Linked DNA regions of Ovis aries. The protein of the gene in region 1 interacts with the protein of each later gene in a biochemical or structural test. Links are inferred from orthologs where the notes say so. Each region holds a gene or a part of one and is shown on either strand. Other genes may lie near its edges.

Region 1 (5,834 bases):
GGTAACTAACAGTTATGAATTTACAGTGAAACCGCTAAGCACAGGGGTAACTGCCCATTCAGGAGAGGTTTTAGACTTCCTGTTTTAATTATTTGTTTATTTTTAATTGGAGGGTATTTGCTTTCCAATTTGTGTTGGTTTCTGCCATACATCAACATGAATCAGCCGCGGGCATACATATGTCCCCTCCCGCTTGAACCTCCCTCCGACCCCCTACCTCATCCCACCCCTCTAGGTTGTCACAGAGCGCTGGGTTTGAGCTCCCTGAGTCACACAGCGAATTCCCACCAGCTCTTGCTTTTACATATGGTGATGTACATGTTTCAGTGCTACTCTTTCTATTCATCCCACTCTCTCCTTCCCTCACTGTGTTAGACTTCATGTTTAAAGAAGTACACCGTGTCGCTAAGCAAATTAAGTTTGCTAAAACCACCTTTACTCAGCTTTTTCCAAAGCTTGAAACAGATTACTTTGGGTAATTTTCTCCCACTAACCAGATGCCACCAAGACACAAATGACTTGTGTCATTGTGTAGAAGAGGAGTAGGAGTAGTCAGTAGATGAGAAGCTTCTGATCTGGCCTCCATCATGACTTTTATTTGGGTGGGAAGGCTTTCTCAAACCTCTCAAATTTTCTCACCTGTACAATGGAAAGGATACCTGCCCACCTACTCCACTATACTACCGCCAATAGATATGCAGTACAAGCTTATGAGAAGCTGGTGTGATGACAGACTTGAGGAAGTTTTGTTGTTGTTGTTTTTTTAATCTCAAAATTCATTCTTAAGGATCCAAACTCCTTATTTGCATTTTAAGTGTTGAATTTATTTACCCTCTGTTTACATTCTGTTAAGGGAGGTGCCTATGATTAATTAAGCACAAGCAACCGGACATTAGATGGCCCATGATCTTCTGCCCAACTGTCCATTATCAGTCCTGGGGAGAAGCTGACTTTCAAAGCACACATTTGTAAGTAATCTAGTATGCTGGGATCCAATCCTGATTCTAATACCATCACCAATGAACTTAAAGGTTATCGGAGATGCTTCAGGGCACAGCCTAGGTCAATCTGAATACCATTCTGATCTAGAGAAACACCAGTACCACAAGTTAATTTTGGAGAAAGAAATCACAACCCACTCCAGTATTCTTGCCTGGGAAATTCCATGGGTAAAGAAGCTTGGCAGGCTACAGTCCATGGGGTCGCAAAGAGCTGGACACACCTTCGCAACTGAACAACAATAGTTTATTTTGGTGCATTCACAATGTCCTTTTAGCCCGGAACTTAAGTGCTTCCCTGGTGGCTGAGGGTGAAGCGTCTGCCTGCAATGCAGGAGACCCAGGTTCAATCCCTGGGTCGGGAAGATCCCCTGGAGAAGCAAATGGCAACCCACTCCAGTATTCTTGCCTGGAGAATCCCATGGGTGGAGAAGCCTGGTAGGCTACAGTCCACAGGGTCACAAAGAGTTGGAAACGACTGAGTGACTTCACTTTCACTTTCTTTTAAGTGACTTTACACATATTTGACTTAAACAGTTCCTAATAACAAAGAAAATTATTTAATATTGCTAGCTGAAAAAGGGACCTTACAAAGTGCTCTTTTAAAAAATCAGTGCCCCTATAGGCCAGATTCCAGGGCTGAATACTCAAGGGGAGTTTGTGCAGAAAATCTCAAGAGATCCCACTTCCCACCAAGACACGGGGGCCTTCCCAGCTCTTCCCAGGCATTACCTGGCCACAGGTCCTCCTGTACTGCCCATTCTCAGTTAGCACTCCTAGTACTGTTCTTTGTGGCGGATCCTGGCCGAACTGGCCTCTGGTTATCATCTGACAGGCATCAGGACCTCGGGACACTGGAGCCAGCACTACTCCACTCTTGGAGCTGCTGAGATGCATAGCCTCAGTCTCCACAGCTTACTGCTGTCAAGGAAGGAGAAACAGACAAGCCAGTTAGTCAGCCTCTTCCACGAAGGATAAGGATCCAAGGATGCTGAGACTCTCTAGAAGACACAGCCCTGTGACACATGATCTTCCTTGCTGTTATTAGGGTTGAAAGGGCCTGAGCCACAGTGCAAGTGATCAAAGCCGCTTTAAACCAAAACGATGATTTGAATCTCTCCAGCCTTTCTTCCAATACCTGGCTGATGGCTGGAAGAAGAGAAGAATATGACAAACCTCCAAGCCAAGACACTAACCCCCACATTAGTGGGGAGTTCAAACCTACAAGCCCGTGTCTTTCCTGGCTGTGATGCTTATCCATTACTCCACCACCCCCTTCCCTGCAAACCAGTGACCCAGGATACATCACTGTGGGAAAGTACGTCCCCTTCTCAAGTGACAAGCAGAGTGCTCTTCCGCGGCCTTCCTCCCACAAGACAGAAGGCCCCAAAATCTGCTTGGAACCCACAGCGGACCTCGCTCTTCTCAGTCTTATCTCTTTACACATAAGTCTCGAACAATTAGCAAATGCACACGAGGATTGGGAATAAGGGTCCAATGAAGGGGGCGGGGCCGGGGCGGGGCGGGGCGGAAGGGGACGGAGGTGTTAATAGATTCTAGCCGGGGCGCTGGGCTCCCAGCGTCTGCTGCCCAGCTCAGAGCTAATTACTTTCAACTCCCCCCGCCCCTCGCCGGCCCCCGCGTCTGTTGAATCGGCCAATCAGCGCAGCTCCCGGGCCTCGCGGGGGCCGTTTCCATGCCAACCGCAGGGGGGCGTGCGCGCTCTGCGGCCTCATCTCTATGGCTACCTCAGCACCCGAGGACGCACCGCGACCCTTGGGCGTTCAGGGCTGGGTGGGGCCAACCGGCGGCGGCCCTGAGCCCCTCCTAAGCGGCCCTGCCCGGGCGTGTCTGGGCGGGCGGCCGCGGTGGCCGCGGCCCACGCCCCCACTGTGGCCGATATCTGTAAGGGAAGAAGCAGGCCCGCCCCGCGATGGCCGGGGTTTGGAAGGGACTGTTTTTACTTGAACCGGTTCCCCAACAGCCGCTAACTCCTCCCGCTAACGTCTTTTCCGCGGCCCGCTCCTGAGAACCTTGGCCCGGGAGGGCGACGCGGGGCCCTCGGGGCTGCTGAGGCCGCGGCGCCTTGACCGCGCCGGGCAGACAGCGCGGCTCACTCCCCTTTCCCCCAGCTCACACACCTAAGCCTACTCCCAGAGAAAAGCCAAGTGGCAGCGAGCGGGCCTCTGGTTGGAGTCGCGGCCTCAGTCCGTGGTGGCGGCGTGTTCTCGGTCATTTTGGGTCCTTGCGCACCGGAGGCCACGCCTGGCCGACCTGGGTTCCGGTGCATGTAACCCGACAGGGCGGGAGAGGAGACCTGGGGTTTTAGGGTCGCACGTGGTGCTCTAGGTCCCCAGGAGAGAGACCTTCCTCGACGGTTCCGGCAGCCCCAGCGTGAAGCTGGCCCAGGAAGAGGAAGGAACGCGAGTGGCAGCGACGGGGTCTGGGACGTTGAGAGGGGATAGCGGGGAGGCTGGGAACCAGGGACTGGGCAGGTGGCCTGGTCACGTGGGAAGGAAATCCTTGGATCCGGGGTCCGCGGCAGGGTAGGGTGGAAGCAGGGGGCCTAATTTGGGGGTAAGAGGTGAGGGTAGGGAGAAGGGGCCTTGGCCACGCAGGAAGGGAAGGGGGGGGGGGTCCTTGGAAACTAGGGAGCCCTGGAACTTGCAGAGGTAACTAGAGAGCCAAGTATAAGAATCTTTACCTTTATTATTTTTTTGAAAATGTTGTTGTGCACACACACACACGTTACTGCTTTTGTCTGTTTTTAATTTTTAAATATTCCCATCTCTAAGTTCCCATCCATAAAACAGATAATGGAAACCATTCAAATGGTCGTTTTTTAAGAACTCGTTATTTCCTTCTTCCTTGTTTTGAATGAAAATAATTGCTAATCTTACACCTCTCCCAGTTTTTTCTTAAGTATTCTTTATTAATGGGCTCACTCAGCGATGTGTATGCATTACTTTAATGGGAAAATTGAAGTATTCTACAGGAAATGAGGATGAAAGCGATTGAATCAGGTGTTAAGAGGCAGTTAGGAGGCATCTTGCAAATCACTCCTGGATGCCCAAGGAAAATAGAAATGGATTTTAATGTGAAACTAACTTCTACACATTTATTACCCACTTTCATTCATTGGGAAGCAGCGATCCCTTTGCACCCTGGAATTCCTATGCCTTCGGATATGAAGGCAACACAGCAGCTCTGGTAACAACTCAAATTGTGGCAACATATGTAGGTAGGCCCCAAATGCTTGGTTTTGCAAGGTGCTGCTATCTGGTGAGGAAAAGAGCCTTTCTGCCCCCTTCTCATCTGGTGCTGCTTTTGGAAGTCTTCTGGGGAGGCTTCCATCATCTGACCACACTATTGTGACTTCTGGAGACTCTAAAGGCGTCAGGGGTGGACTCTGTTAGGGACTCAGGAGCAGGTCTTTCCAAGAGCCAGGGTTACTTTGGCAGGAGCTAGAGGCTCAAACGGTAGAGAATCTTCCTGTAATGCTGGAGACCCAGTTTGAGCCCTGGGTTGGGAAGATCCCCTGGAGAAGTGAATGGCTACCCACTCCAGTATTCTTGCCTGGAGAATTCCATGGACAGAGGAGCCTGGTGGACTATAGTCCCTGGAGTCGAAAAGAGTTGGACACGACTGAGTGCCTTTCACTTTCACTTCTGTGCCCTCCTGTGACCTGATGCTCTGTACATCCCTTTTGATATGATTTACTTGATTGAGGAAAGTGACCAGAAACCTCATACTCATCCTTTCTTCCAAAACAAAAGAAGCCAGTGCAGTGTTTGTTCCTGGAGCCTGTCGTTTTGATCCTCTTTTCTGAGACTGAAGCTCAAGTGGGAAAAGGGTAGCACTGGCCCCGGGCAGAGGCAGGTCTTTGAAATTGGCTGTCCTGACTCACACATCTGGTCAGAACCAGAGAAGGAGGCTACTAAGGAGTCTGTACCTCTCAGCTGTCTCTAGTCCAAAAAATGCCTTTTAAAGAGAAAAGAACTCTTAACCAGATGAAACCCTCTGGTTATTTCACATCTTCCCCTACCCCTTCTCGTGTGAATTTTGTTGTTGTTGCCATTCAGTGCCTTAGTCGTATCCGACCCTTTTCGACCCCATGGACTGTAGCACGCCAGGCTTCCCTTTCCTTTACCAACTCCTGGAGTTTGCTCAAGTGAATAGCTGCAGCCTAATCCAACCTTAATGCATATGAAATATTATCATTAAATATTACCATCTTTCTTCTTTCTCCATTCACTTCGTTAAACTTGACAAAGAGCACCAATATGTGGCTTGTGAGTTTATTGTTGTACTGCCTTCGAATTCAGTATTAAAACATCACAGTTCTCTGGTGAGATTTTAAATTGCAGAGTAATTGAGGTGAACTTTATGCATTTTTAAAATATGTGTATACATATAAATTCAGATATTTATATAACTTGCACAATACTTATGGCTTTCCTGGGTTTTTAAAAAAATCATTAAATATTTGAACTAGTAATGATTTATGGTATAAAAACAAACTCAACTAATAAAATCACAATTTTTATAAAAAATGTTAATGGAAAACTTGGCCTTATACTTAGGAAAAACTGGAGCAGAGCGAATACAAAAGACTTCCTTACAAATTATGCATTTTTAGTGAGACTCATTATTTTGCTATTAGTGTAGCAAAATCAGGATTCGAAATCAAAGTTGAGTAGATTTTCAAGGTCTGCATGTTTTACATAACCTGTTAATATATTGAGACATGAACAATACATTTTATTATAAATACATCTTTAATCTCTAAAATATTTGGTATAGCTTATATGCTAATATAACATTTTCTTAGCTTAA
Region 2 (5,036 bases), on another chromosome or scaffold:
CCTCCCCCTAGCCCTTGGCAACCACCTTGTTTTACTTTCTGTTTTTGATTTCTTTTTTTATTTGGCTGCCCTCGTCTTCGTTGTAGCACATGGGATCATTTTTTCGGTGCCACATGCAGGATCATTAGTTGCAGCATTTGGAATCTAGTTTCCTGATCAGGGATTGAACCCAGGCCCCCTGCACTGGGAGCACAGTCTTAGCCACTGGATCACCAGAGAAGTCCCTGGTTTTTATTTTTGACTACTTTAGATTCTTCATATGAGTGGACTTAGGCTGTCTCTGTCCTTTTGTGTCTGGCTTATTTTGCTTAGCATAATGTCCTCAAGGTTCATCCAGGTTGTAGCTTGTAACAGAATTTCCTTGTTTTGAGGCGGAATAATATTCCACTGTATGGATAATACTACATTTTCTTTATATGTATAAATTAAAAAAAATAAGTTTGGGGGATTCCCTGGCCATCTAGTGGTTAGGACCCCAAGCTTTCACTGTGAGGACCTCAGTTCAATCCCTGATGGGGGAACTGAGAACCTACGAGTTGCAGGGGGTAAAAACAGTCAGTTTGCTCTAGGAATATTTTACACACAAACAGCTACAACTGTTGAAGTACAATCCAGTGAGTTTCAGTGGATGTGCTGCCGTGAAACTCACAGCAACACCACCTTGCTGGGTGTTCCCATCACCCCAGGCATCTCTTGCTCCCTGCTGTTCATTTCTTCCACCCACCAACCAACCCTGACCATGGACACCACTGACTATCTTTTTGTCCCTATAGCTTTGTTTACCTTTTCTAGAAGTTCCTCTGCACAGAATTAAGCAATGTGTACTCTTCTTATGTCTGACTTCTTTTTCTCATCCTAATGATACTGTGATTTTAATGTTGTTGCATGAATCAATAGTTTATATTCAGGAGAACGAGTTTATGTTCAGGAGAGTGTTCTAACAGATATGTTTTTCCATTCCAAGTGCCCACGTTTCCCTGTCTCCAGGGCTGGGTCACTGTCGTCTCTGGCCTGGATGCCTGTAATGGCCTCCTATCCTCCATTCTGCCCTCCTGCAGCCCTTTCTCCTGCAGCTGCCAAAGTGAAGTTCACAACAAGCACGTTGGACTGTGACCACCTGTCAGTGGTGATGCTTCAGTGCATCTGTGGCCTTGCGTGACGCAGAGGCCTGAGTCAACCCTGCGTGTGCTCTGATCCCCGCCGCCCCCGCCCCCACCCCCAAATCCTCTTGCCTCCCTGTCTCCTGCTTCCTGCAGCCTAGCCTCACTAGAGTTCCTTGGAGCCTGTCCCTTGGGTCCCCCATAGGCCTCATTGTCCATCTCTCCATCCCTGCAGCACAGAGTGGCCCTCCTTTTGTTTGCAGGAGCCTTTGATTAGCGTCTGCTTCCCGCTAGACTTTAAGTCCCCAAAGTTGAGCAGCTCTGATGCTGGCGTGCCTGGTGCACAGTTAGATGATCACTTCATCACGTGAATGGATGAATGAGGCTGTTCTCTTTGTTGGAGGGAGGGTGGGTCTCAGTCCAGAGCAGCCGCTTTCTGCACGCGTGTGAACTGAGCCCTCTGTCTTCCTGGCTTTGGCAGGACGAGCAGCTGAAGGCCCTGGTGAAGCAGTTTGGACAGCAAGACTGGAAGTTCCTGGCCAGCCACTTTCCCGTGAGTGCAGCCCCTCTGCCGCCCTCTCCCCCGGATAGGGAGCCTGGGAGAGACTTGGTGTCAGGGAGAAGAAAGGAGAATTCCTTACCAGGCGCCCCCGAGCTCTCCCAACAAAACAACCTTCCAGCCTCCTGAGGCCCTTTCTACCCAAACTGGAATCGGGGCACCCTGATGTAAGCGTCCCCACGTGGCAGCCTCTGGGTGCCTGGGGGCCTTAGGCTCCATGATCATGCGTCGTATCAGTGGCATATTTGCATTTCTTCCTGCAAGTCACTGACGAGTGGCTGCTCGGTTTCTCAACCGTGAAACTGAACCTGAGAGGAAATGATGCTTGAGCAGGCTTCATGGTGAGGCCCCCGCAGAGCTGACCCGAGCCACCATGTCCAGCATCTAGAGCCTCCTGGTGATGTGGCTCCCCCTAGGATCCCCCACCCCCAGCTCTGCAGGTGGCCGACAGGGAGGGGATGTGGCAGGAGCTGCTGTTGGCTTTCCTGGCTCATCAGGCAGCTCGGGGACCAGGTCACCAGACCCTTTGGCCCCATTCCTCACTCCCTGTCCTCTACAGGGTCTGAAACCTTCAGGGAAATAGCCCCTTTCAGAAGCAAGCGAGAATCCCTGATGTAGCCTGCAGGCTGGCACAGGGCAGTTGTGGGCAGTGGCTCTGCACAGGGTTCTGAGTTTGCCTGCTTCCATCCAGGCCCACTTGTAGCAAAGGGAACCACAGTGTCCTGGACCGTGGGTGTGTAGTGTGTGGGGGTTCTGGGAACGAGGTAGGGCCACAGGCCAGGAGTTCTCAAGGATGCCTGTCCTTTTCCCAGAACCGCACTGACCAGCAGTGCCAGTATCGGTGGCTGAGGGTCTTGAATCCAGACCTCGTCAAAGGGCCATGGACCAAAGAGGAGGACCAGAAGGTAACGCCTGGGCCTGAGCCTGCTACACCGTGGCATTCACGCACCCCGGGGGAGGGGGTCAGGAGACTGAGGATGACATCCCACTGGTGGGTGCTAGGGTGGGAAACAGGGGGTGGGGGGGGTCCCGCTGGCCTCACAGCGTCTTTCCCCCAAGGTCATCGAGCTGGTCAAGAAGTATGGCACGAAGCAGTGGACGCTGATTGCCAAGCACCTGAAGGGCCGGCTGGGCAAGCAGTGCCGTGAGCGCTGGCACAACCACCTCAACCCCGAGGTGAAGAAGTCCTGCTGGACGGAGGAGGAGGACCGCATCATCTGCGAGGCCCACAAGGTGCTGGGCAACCGCTGGGCCGAGATCGCCAAGATGCTGCCGGGGAGGTGAGCCGCCCGCTGGGGCCGGTCAGGGCATCCCCTGGCCTTTGTGGGGATGTTCAAGGCCTAGTCCGATTTCTCTGGTGGTGTTTACTCTTCCCAGAAGAAGAGGCCTTCAGATTCTTGCCTCGGGCGGTGCAGGGACCTGGCTGCTGGGAGACTGGAGCGGGGTGGGGCGGGCCTGGGGGCCTCCTGTTCACGGTGCAGGTTCTCATCTGGGCCCACTTGGCTTCGTGCCCTGGCCATGGTTGCACGCGTTCTAAGTCACTGAAGTCATGTCCTGACTATTTACGAGCCCGTGGACTGTAGCCCACCACACTTCTCTGTCCATGGAATTCTCTAGGCAAGAGTACTGGAGTGGGTTGCCGTGCCCTCCTCCAGGGGATCTTCCCAACCCAGGGATCAAACCCGTGTCTCTTGGATCCTCCTGCACTGGCAGGCAAGTTCCTCACCACTGTGACACCTAAGAAGCCACGTGGCTTGGGTTGCCTGGTCTTTTTTTTTTTTTTTTTTTTTTTAATAAAAGAGAGTAAGTCTCATTCCTCCTGGTCTGGACGTCCAAAGCACTGCTCTGTTTTCACTCTACTCCTCACTGGGCCTGGCCGCTCCAAGCACTGGGTCTCTCGAGGTTCTGCAAGGAGAACTGGAACAACTTGGGACTTGGGCTGCAGTCTTGCCAGATCGTCCAGGGTCCACCCCAGTCTCCCGAGTTGCTTCACACAGTTGCTTCTGGAAACTGTAAAAATCTCTTATTCACCACTACCATCTACCCTGCTCTCTTGTCTGTGTACTTGTGTGTGTGTGCATGTGTGTGTGTGTGTGTGTGTGTGTCTGTGTGTGTATGTCTGTGTGCGTGCGTTGACCACCCCGTATAGCACACAAGATCGTCGTCGTTCCCTGAGCAGGGATTAAACCCATGCGCCCTTCCTCAGGAATGCTGCATCCTAATCACTGGCCCTGTCCATGGGCATTTCTACTTTGCTTTATTTCTAATCTTTTCTTTACGATGGCATTGTGGTGCCAGGGTAAATGGCATGGAGGGAAAGGAGATAGAATACCAGATGGCCTGTTTTCCCTGGAGTCTGAAATACCTGTTTCCAAACTCAGACCTAAGTGTGTTAATACTTTTGGTGCTTCCACTAACCCTTGGATGGAGACTCTTCCCTGTGTGGCCAGCCTGACCTCGCTGATGCCACAGCCTCACCTTGATCCGCAGTCACCCTCGCTTGCCTATCGGGCTTTGCACTATGCTCTCCTCCCGCCCACAGACATGGAGCCTGGACGCCCCCTGCCTGGTGCCCACTGTGTAGCCAGCTCGCTCTCACCGTTTGGTTTTTGGTGGGGAATGTTTCCTCGGGGAAGGTTGGTCTGTCCTTCCCGCCTGTGGTGAGTCCCTGGCCACCTCCGCGTAGTGCCCAGACCCTCCTCTGAGACTGGTGGCCTATTCAAGCTGTTATTCTGGTGGAAAAGCACTCAGCCCAGAGCCCCAAAGAAGGCACTGTCCCTGTGTGTCCACAGTTGTGCACTGCTGCGACCCGTGTGCGCTGGGGCCGCTCACACCGACGCCGACGCGTGCTTCCGCGGCCCGTGCTTCCCTGAGCCTTGTCCCACTCTCCTCTGCTGCTCTGTCCTGCTCTGCTGCGCACCCATCGGCCTCTCTCCGTCCACACTTCCTGCGCTCCTGTACCACTGTGCTACCCTCCCTGCCTTTACGTGTCACTACTCTGACTTAAGTGACAAGTGATGGAGGAGGAAGTGATCTAATTTTCCAGATGAAAAAGCCAAGGCTCAGAGTAGTCAGCAGGAGACCCTGTGTTTTCTTGCTCTGCCCTCTCTGGTCATTTTCTATCTATGGGAGGTGATCAGGGCTCATGTTTGAGATCCCCGAGCCTCAGGACATGGGCCAGCAGCCAGCAGCTTGCTTCCAGTTTCTACAGATGCCCAGGGAGCTGGGAAGGGTCTGAGGGTTGCCAGAACACTTAAGTGTTAGGATTTTTACCCTGTCGGCTGAATAAGATGTTTGCTTACTTCGCAGAGGTGTGTGGAAATACTCTGTAAATCATGCCAGGCTGCAGGCATGTCAGACTTCATCTTAGAGCCCTT
Region 3 (5,036 bases), on another chromosome or scaffold:
TGGATTTCCTTTCTTTTTAGGCTTTTGGAACAGGATTTTAATATTTTTAGTCAAATTATTAATAACTGTACATTCCCTTAAAGAGAAATAAGAACTCTGTCTCACACTGAACACAGCAGCAGGCAGGCGCCGGGTGGAGGTGGGTTTCCCCAGTCAGCCTTTCGGCTGGGCTCAGAGCCCCCAGAGCCCTGTTCCCCCTGCTCTGGACTGAGAGCAGGCAGGTGAGAGGGTGTCCTTCGTGCCTTCAGGCATCTATCGAGCCGTCCCCATTCGCATCAACCCCAGAGTGAGCAATGTGAAGTCTGTCTACAAAACCCACATTGACGTCATTCACTACCGGAAGACTGACTCAAAGCGTCTGCATGGCCTTGACGAAGAAGCAGAGCAGAAACTTTTCTCTGAGAAACGTGTGGAGTTGCTCAAAGAGCTTTCCAGGAAGCCAGACATCTATGAGAGGCTTGCATCTGCCCTGGCGCCAAGCATCTATGAGCATGAAGACATAAAGAAGGTAACTGACCTCGAAAGGCTTCTTGCTTACGGCCAGGCCTGAAAGCTCAAGGTCAGATGGTGTGAACACCGGGAAAGGCTGAGCCTCGGGTGGAACAGGGGCCGCACCCTCATCTCCACCCCCGGCTCACCCGTTTCCAGGCAGGCCCTGTGTGGCTTCTGACCCGCTCTCGTCCTCTGATCTCTTCACCATCCATTTGCTCAGCCCCCTGCCTCTCCACCACCCACCTCAGGTGAGTGCTGAGACCTGTCTGTCCGTCTATCCAGGGAATCTTGCTTCAGCTCTTCGGCGGGACTAGAAAGGATTTCAGCCACACGGGGAGGGGCAAGTTCCGCGCGGAGATCAACATCCTGCTGTGCGGGGACCCAGGGACCAGCAAGTCCCAGCTGCTGCAGTACGTGCACAACCTGGTCCCGCGGGGCCAGTACACGTCCGGGAAGGGCTCCAGTGCCGTGGGCCTCACTGCCTACGTCATGAAGGACCCTGAGACACGGCAGCTGGTGTTGCAGACCGGCGCCCTGGTGCTGAGCGACAATGGCATCTGCTGCATCGACGAGTTCGACAAGATGAATGAAAGCACGCGCTCCGTGCTACACGAGGTCATGGAGCAGCAGACACTGTCCATCGCCAAGGTCAGCCACCCACCCGCTCTGATGTCTGCGTGGGGGTGGGGGATGGGGCCTGGACCACAGCGTCTGGACTTGCAGCTCGGGAGGCTGGCCAACACTCTGCTGTCAGGTCCCAGCCCATCTGAGTGTCCTCTACAGGACCTGGGTCCTCTGTGCGGTACTAACCTCTAATGCCTGGTGTTCACAGAACTTTTGTCCTAAATCTCATGCCAGGGATTTGGTTTTTGAGAAGATGTAGTCACAGCAAATGTTTACCCCCACCTCCATCCTTGGTGTGAAACTCAGCTTAGGCTTCCCCAGTGGATGCTGTAGGTACCGTGCTTGTGGTGCCAGGGGTTCCTGGCAAAGGCCACCCGAGGCAGGGGCTCTGAGCTCCTGCTGGCCTCAGCGTGAGGCTGCTGACCACGCTATCGGTCCCTCCCGCAGGCTGGGATCATCTGTCAGCTCAACGCCCGCACCTCCATCCTGGCAGCAGCAAACCCGATTGAGTCTCAGTGGAATCCGAAAAAAACCACCATTGAAAACATCCAGCTGCCCCACACACTCTTATCAAGGTATGATAGCACATGTTCATCAAACAAATGCTTTCATTTTCCTCATCTGTGGAAGGCTCAGGGTGAGGGTGAGAAGGAAATAACCAGAGTTAACACAGCCAGTCGCCGTCTCTTCATGCTGGTGTGGTCTGCATGTCTGCTTAGTCACGGGTCCTGAGGTGAGGACCACGCGCTTGCTCACCTTGACGGATGCTTGTTTCTTGGAGCGGTTGGGGCCTGTCTGCTCCATTCTGTCAGAAGCCCACCTCTTGCTGCTCTTGGTCCTATAGCCACTGTAGACAATCAGCAAAGTGCAGAGAGCAGCTTCCTGCAATAGACAAGGGTCTGAGAGCTGCCTTTGTGGGAGGGGAGATGTGACCCAGGCTTCCTCTCAAGGATGGATGTATTTCATAAATGGGTTTTAGAATTTGGTTCCTTCACTTCTTACACAAATAGTTCCTTTTCCCCAGCACAGCTCAATGTGTTTCACTCACCTCCTCCAGTCTTCAGAATCACAGCAGTGTTTCCCTCCAGAGCCTCCTGCTTCTGACTCACCTTCAGCGCCCAACACTTATTCCCAGGCAGACTGAGGGCTGGGGCAGGAGACCCGGGGGCCTGAGCTCCTCGGACCACCTGGGCCGGGCGCGCCTGCCACTCCCACGGAGGCCGCAGGTCCACATCAGGTGCGTGGGTGTCCTGACTGGGCACCATCACTGTGTCTCCTCAGGTTTGACTTGATCTTCCTCATGCTGGACCCCCAGGACGAGGCATACGACCGGCGCCTGGCTCACCACCTGGTGTCCCTGTACTACCAGAGTGAGGAGCAGGCACAGGAGGAGGGCATGGACATGGCGGTGCTCAGGGACTACATCGCCTACGCGCACAGCACCGTGACACCAAGGCTCAGCCAGGACGCCAGCCAGGCCCTCGTCGAGGTACCGCGGCCCGAAGTGCTGCTGGGCCCTGCTCAGCCCTGAAACAGTCTTTAGTCAAGAACAACACTGTCTTCTACAACTGTTTTCCTTCCTGTGTTGCAAAGCTGACTTTTCCACGTGTGGAAGAGGGAAAAGGATTATTTCTACAAGTTGTGTGCTCTTTTTAAAGTTCTTGTAAGCACAGTGTATTTAAGACCAGGATGCCTGAGTTGAAATATCGGTGAGGCTGTTAATACTTAGTGACTTTGTAATTCTGGTCTCTGAGCTGCATTTGCTCATTTCTAAAGAATTGAAGTATTTTATGTTCACTTCTCAGTACCTTTTAAGTGGGCAGCAGTGCCTGGTGACACGCATGGATGTTGTGACACTAGGAAGGTTCCTAGTGCTTTGGTGGGCTTTCCATCCTGACAGTTCTGAAGATGCTCAAGTGACAGTTAGAAGTGATTCGTAGTTTTCCCTCTGGGTCATCTTGAGAATCAGGTCATCCACACGAGTTCACAGTTTACCCTTTGTGTGCTCTGTGTCAGCGCCCCTTGGCCTGCTGCTATTTGGTCCTCCTAGGGTGTGAACAGGCCAAGTCCTCAGCTCCCTCCCCAGCGCCACAATCCCCCCACTGGTGCCACCTCTCCCCCAGATGAGGGTGGAGGCCTAAGGCTAGACCATGCTCTTGTTCCCCTCAGGACTTCCCTCCCTGCGGTCACCATGTGAGGAGTCAGCCTGTCTCCTGTCTTACAGGCCTACGTGGACATGAGGAAGGTTGGCAGTAGCCGAGGGATGGTGTCTGCGTACCCCCGGCAGCTGGAGTCACTGATCCGCTTGGCAGAAGCCCACGCGAAAGTGCGGTTTTCAAACAAGGTGGAGGCCATTGACGTGGAGGAGGCCAAGCGCCTGCACCGGGAGGCACTGAAGCAGTCGGCCACCGACCCGCGGACAGGCATCGTAGACATCTCCATCCTCACCACAGGTCAGCCTTCCCCCGACGTGGGTGCTGCCCTATCTCGAGTCAGAGCCCCCATGAACACGCGATGGGGCTGGGCGGAGGCAGACGCTGGCACACTCGGCCCAGCTCTGTCCCACCCAGCCGTCCAGGCACCGAGTGATTCAGGCCCCCACAAGGGGGACTCTGTGGACACAGACTCCTGTGTGGACTGCTGGGCTGTGTCTCAGTGGCCAGTAGCGGCTCTGAGCTTTTATAAAACTGGGGACAGGATTCAGACCTCACTCTGGCATTCAGCCACCATCCCCTTACCTTGTCTGGTGACAAGACTAAAGATTATTTTAGAAGAAATACTAGAGATTTGAAAGGTGTTCCCTTGATTATGGGAGAAACATCTTCATTGCTTTCTCTTAACTCAGGAATGAGTGCTACCTCTCGGAAGCGGAAAGAAGAGTTAGCGGAAGCATTGAGAAAGCTTATTTTATCAAAGGGCAAGACACCAACCCTGAAATACCAGCAGCTCTTTGAAGATATTCGGGGACAGTCTGACATAGTAAGTGTTTACATGGACATTTTGTTTGTTTAATAGTTTTCTTTTCCTTTGATGCTGCTTTAAAGTTTTTTTCCCTAGCTTTCCCCCTTCATTTACTGCTTGAGTAATAAATGTAGATACACATAAGAGAAGTACGGTCCCCATCCATAGTGAGTGATCACATTGAGAATTTTTTCAGTCTTCTGTGTGGATGTAGATGAGTAGTTTTGAGCAGAGTCAGTGGTTTCTTTTTTAATCAGTGACAGTCTTAGCTCTTTCTGTGACACTGAATCCACTGCGACATGTTTGCTCTGTCTCATGCCTTCCCCATCATGTACTCAACTGTCGGTGGACATTTAGTGTTTGCAGTTTTTGGCTGTTATTAGGAAAGCCAGGTTCACGGCAGGGGCTCTGCTGGTTGGGACCAGCCCTTGCCTGCTTTCCTGACACCCCCTTCTTGGCCCCACATGACCGCTGAGTGGTTCACACAGACCAGGGGCGCCAGGCCTGTGGTGCTTAGCATCAAGCCCTTTAGGGGAAGAGCTGGAGCATGAAATGTCTGTCCAGCCGCCCAGAAGGCAGGAGACTCCAGTGGTTTCTGAACTTGGGCTCCTTGTGTGTCTGGGGAGGGCAGCTCCAGATGTAAACTCTTTGCTCTTCCCTGAAGGCAATCACCAAGGACATGTTTGAAGAAGCGCTGCGCGCCCTGGCGGATGACGACTTCTTGACAGTAACTGGGAAGACTGTGCGTCTGCTCTGAAGGCCCAGGAGCAGCATGGTCCTGGCCCTGCCGCCAGCAGGAGGAGGGGCTTCAAGGTCATTGCTTGGCACCATGAGAATTTTCTCACGTGGCTTCACTGTTCCTAGGAAGCCCGTGTATTCATCTGTTGATACTGAGTGAAGCGTCCTAGGCCATCTGAGTGTGTGAGGCAGAGACTGAGTATCATGGAGCACCAGGGCTG

Evidence for each region. The genes of interacting proteins can lie anywhere in the genome.
Region 2: the proteins of CCNA1 (region 1) and MYBL2 form a complex in vitro, tested with the Homo sapiens proteins (2 studies listed by BioGRID, with this or other methods). The link is inferred for Ovis aries from reciprocal best matches to the Homo sapiens genes CCNA1 and MYBL2.
Region 3: the proteins of CCNA1 (region 1) and MCM4 form a complex in vitro, tested with the Homo sapiens proteins (2 studies listed by BioGRID and IntAct, with this or other methods). The link is inferred for Ovis aries from reciprocal best matches to the Homo sapiens genes CCNA1 and MCM4.

Annotation. Positions count from the first base shown.
Region 1 is NC_056063.1:25,417,093-25,422,926, forward strand, and holds the start of CCNA1 (cyclin-A1), read right to left. Parts: upstream 3,275-5,834; 5' UTR 3,140-3,274; intron 2,612-3,139; exon of another isoform or gene 1,920-2,611; 5' UTR 1,896-1,919; coding exon 1,731-1,895; intron 1-1,730. UniProt on the Homo sapiens protein: May be involved in the control of the cell cycle at the G1/S (start) and G2/M (mitosis) transitions. May primarily function in the control of the germline meiotic cell cycle and additionally in the control of mitotic cell cycle in some somatic cells.
Region 2 is NC_056066.1:72,204,448-72,209,483, forward strand, and holds part of MYBL2 (myb-related protein B), read left to right. Parts: intron 1-1,581; coding exon 1,582-1,653; intron 1,654-2,471; coding exon 2,472-2,564; intron 2,565-2,718; coding exon 2,719-2,939; intron 2,940-5,036. UniProt on the Homo sapiens protein: Transcription factor involved in the regulation of cell survival, proliferation, and differentiation. Transactivates the expression of the CLU gene.
Region 3 is NC_056062.1:32,580,820-32,585,855, forward strand, and holds part of MCM4 (DNA replication licensing factor MCM4), read left to right. Parts: intron 1-248; coding exon 249-508; intron 509-774; coding exon 775-1,140; intron 1,141-1,563; coding exon 1,564-1,691; intron 1,692-2,397; coding exon 2,398-2,605; intron 2,606-3,340; coding exon 3,341-3,569; intron 3,570-3,961; coding exon 3,962-4,095; intron 4,096-4,741; coding exon 4,742-4,834; 3' UTR 4,835-5,036. UniProt on the Homo sapiens protein: Acts as a component of the MCM2-7 complex (MCM complex) which is the replicative helicase essential for 'once per cell cycle' DNA replication initiation and elongation in eukaryotic cells.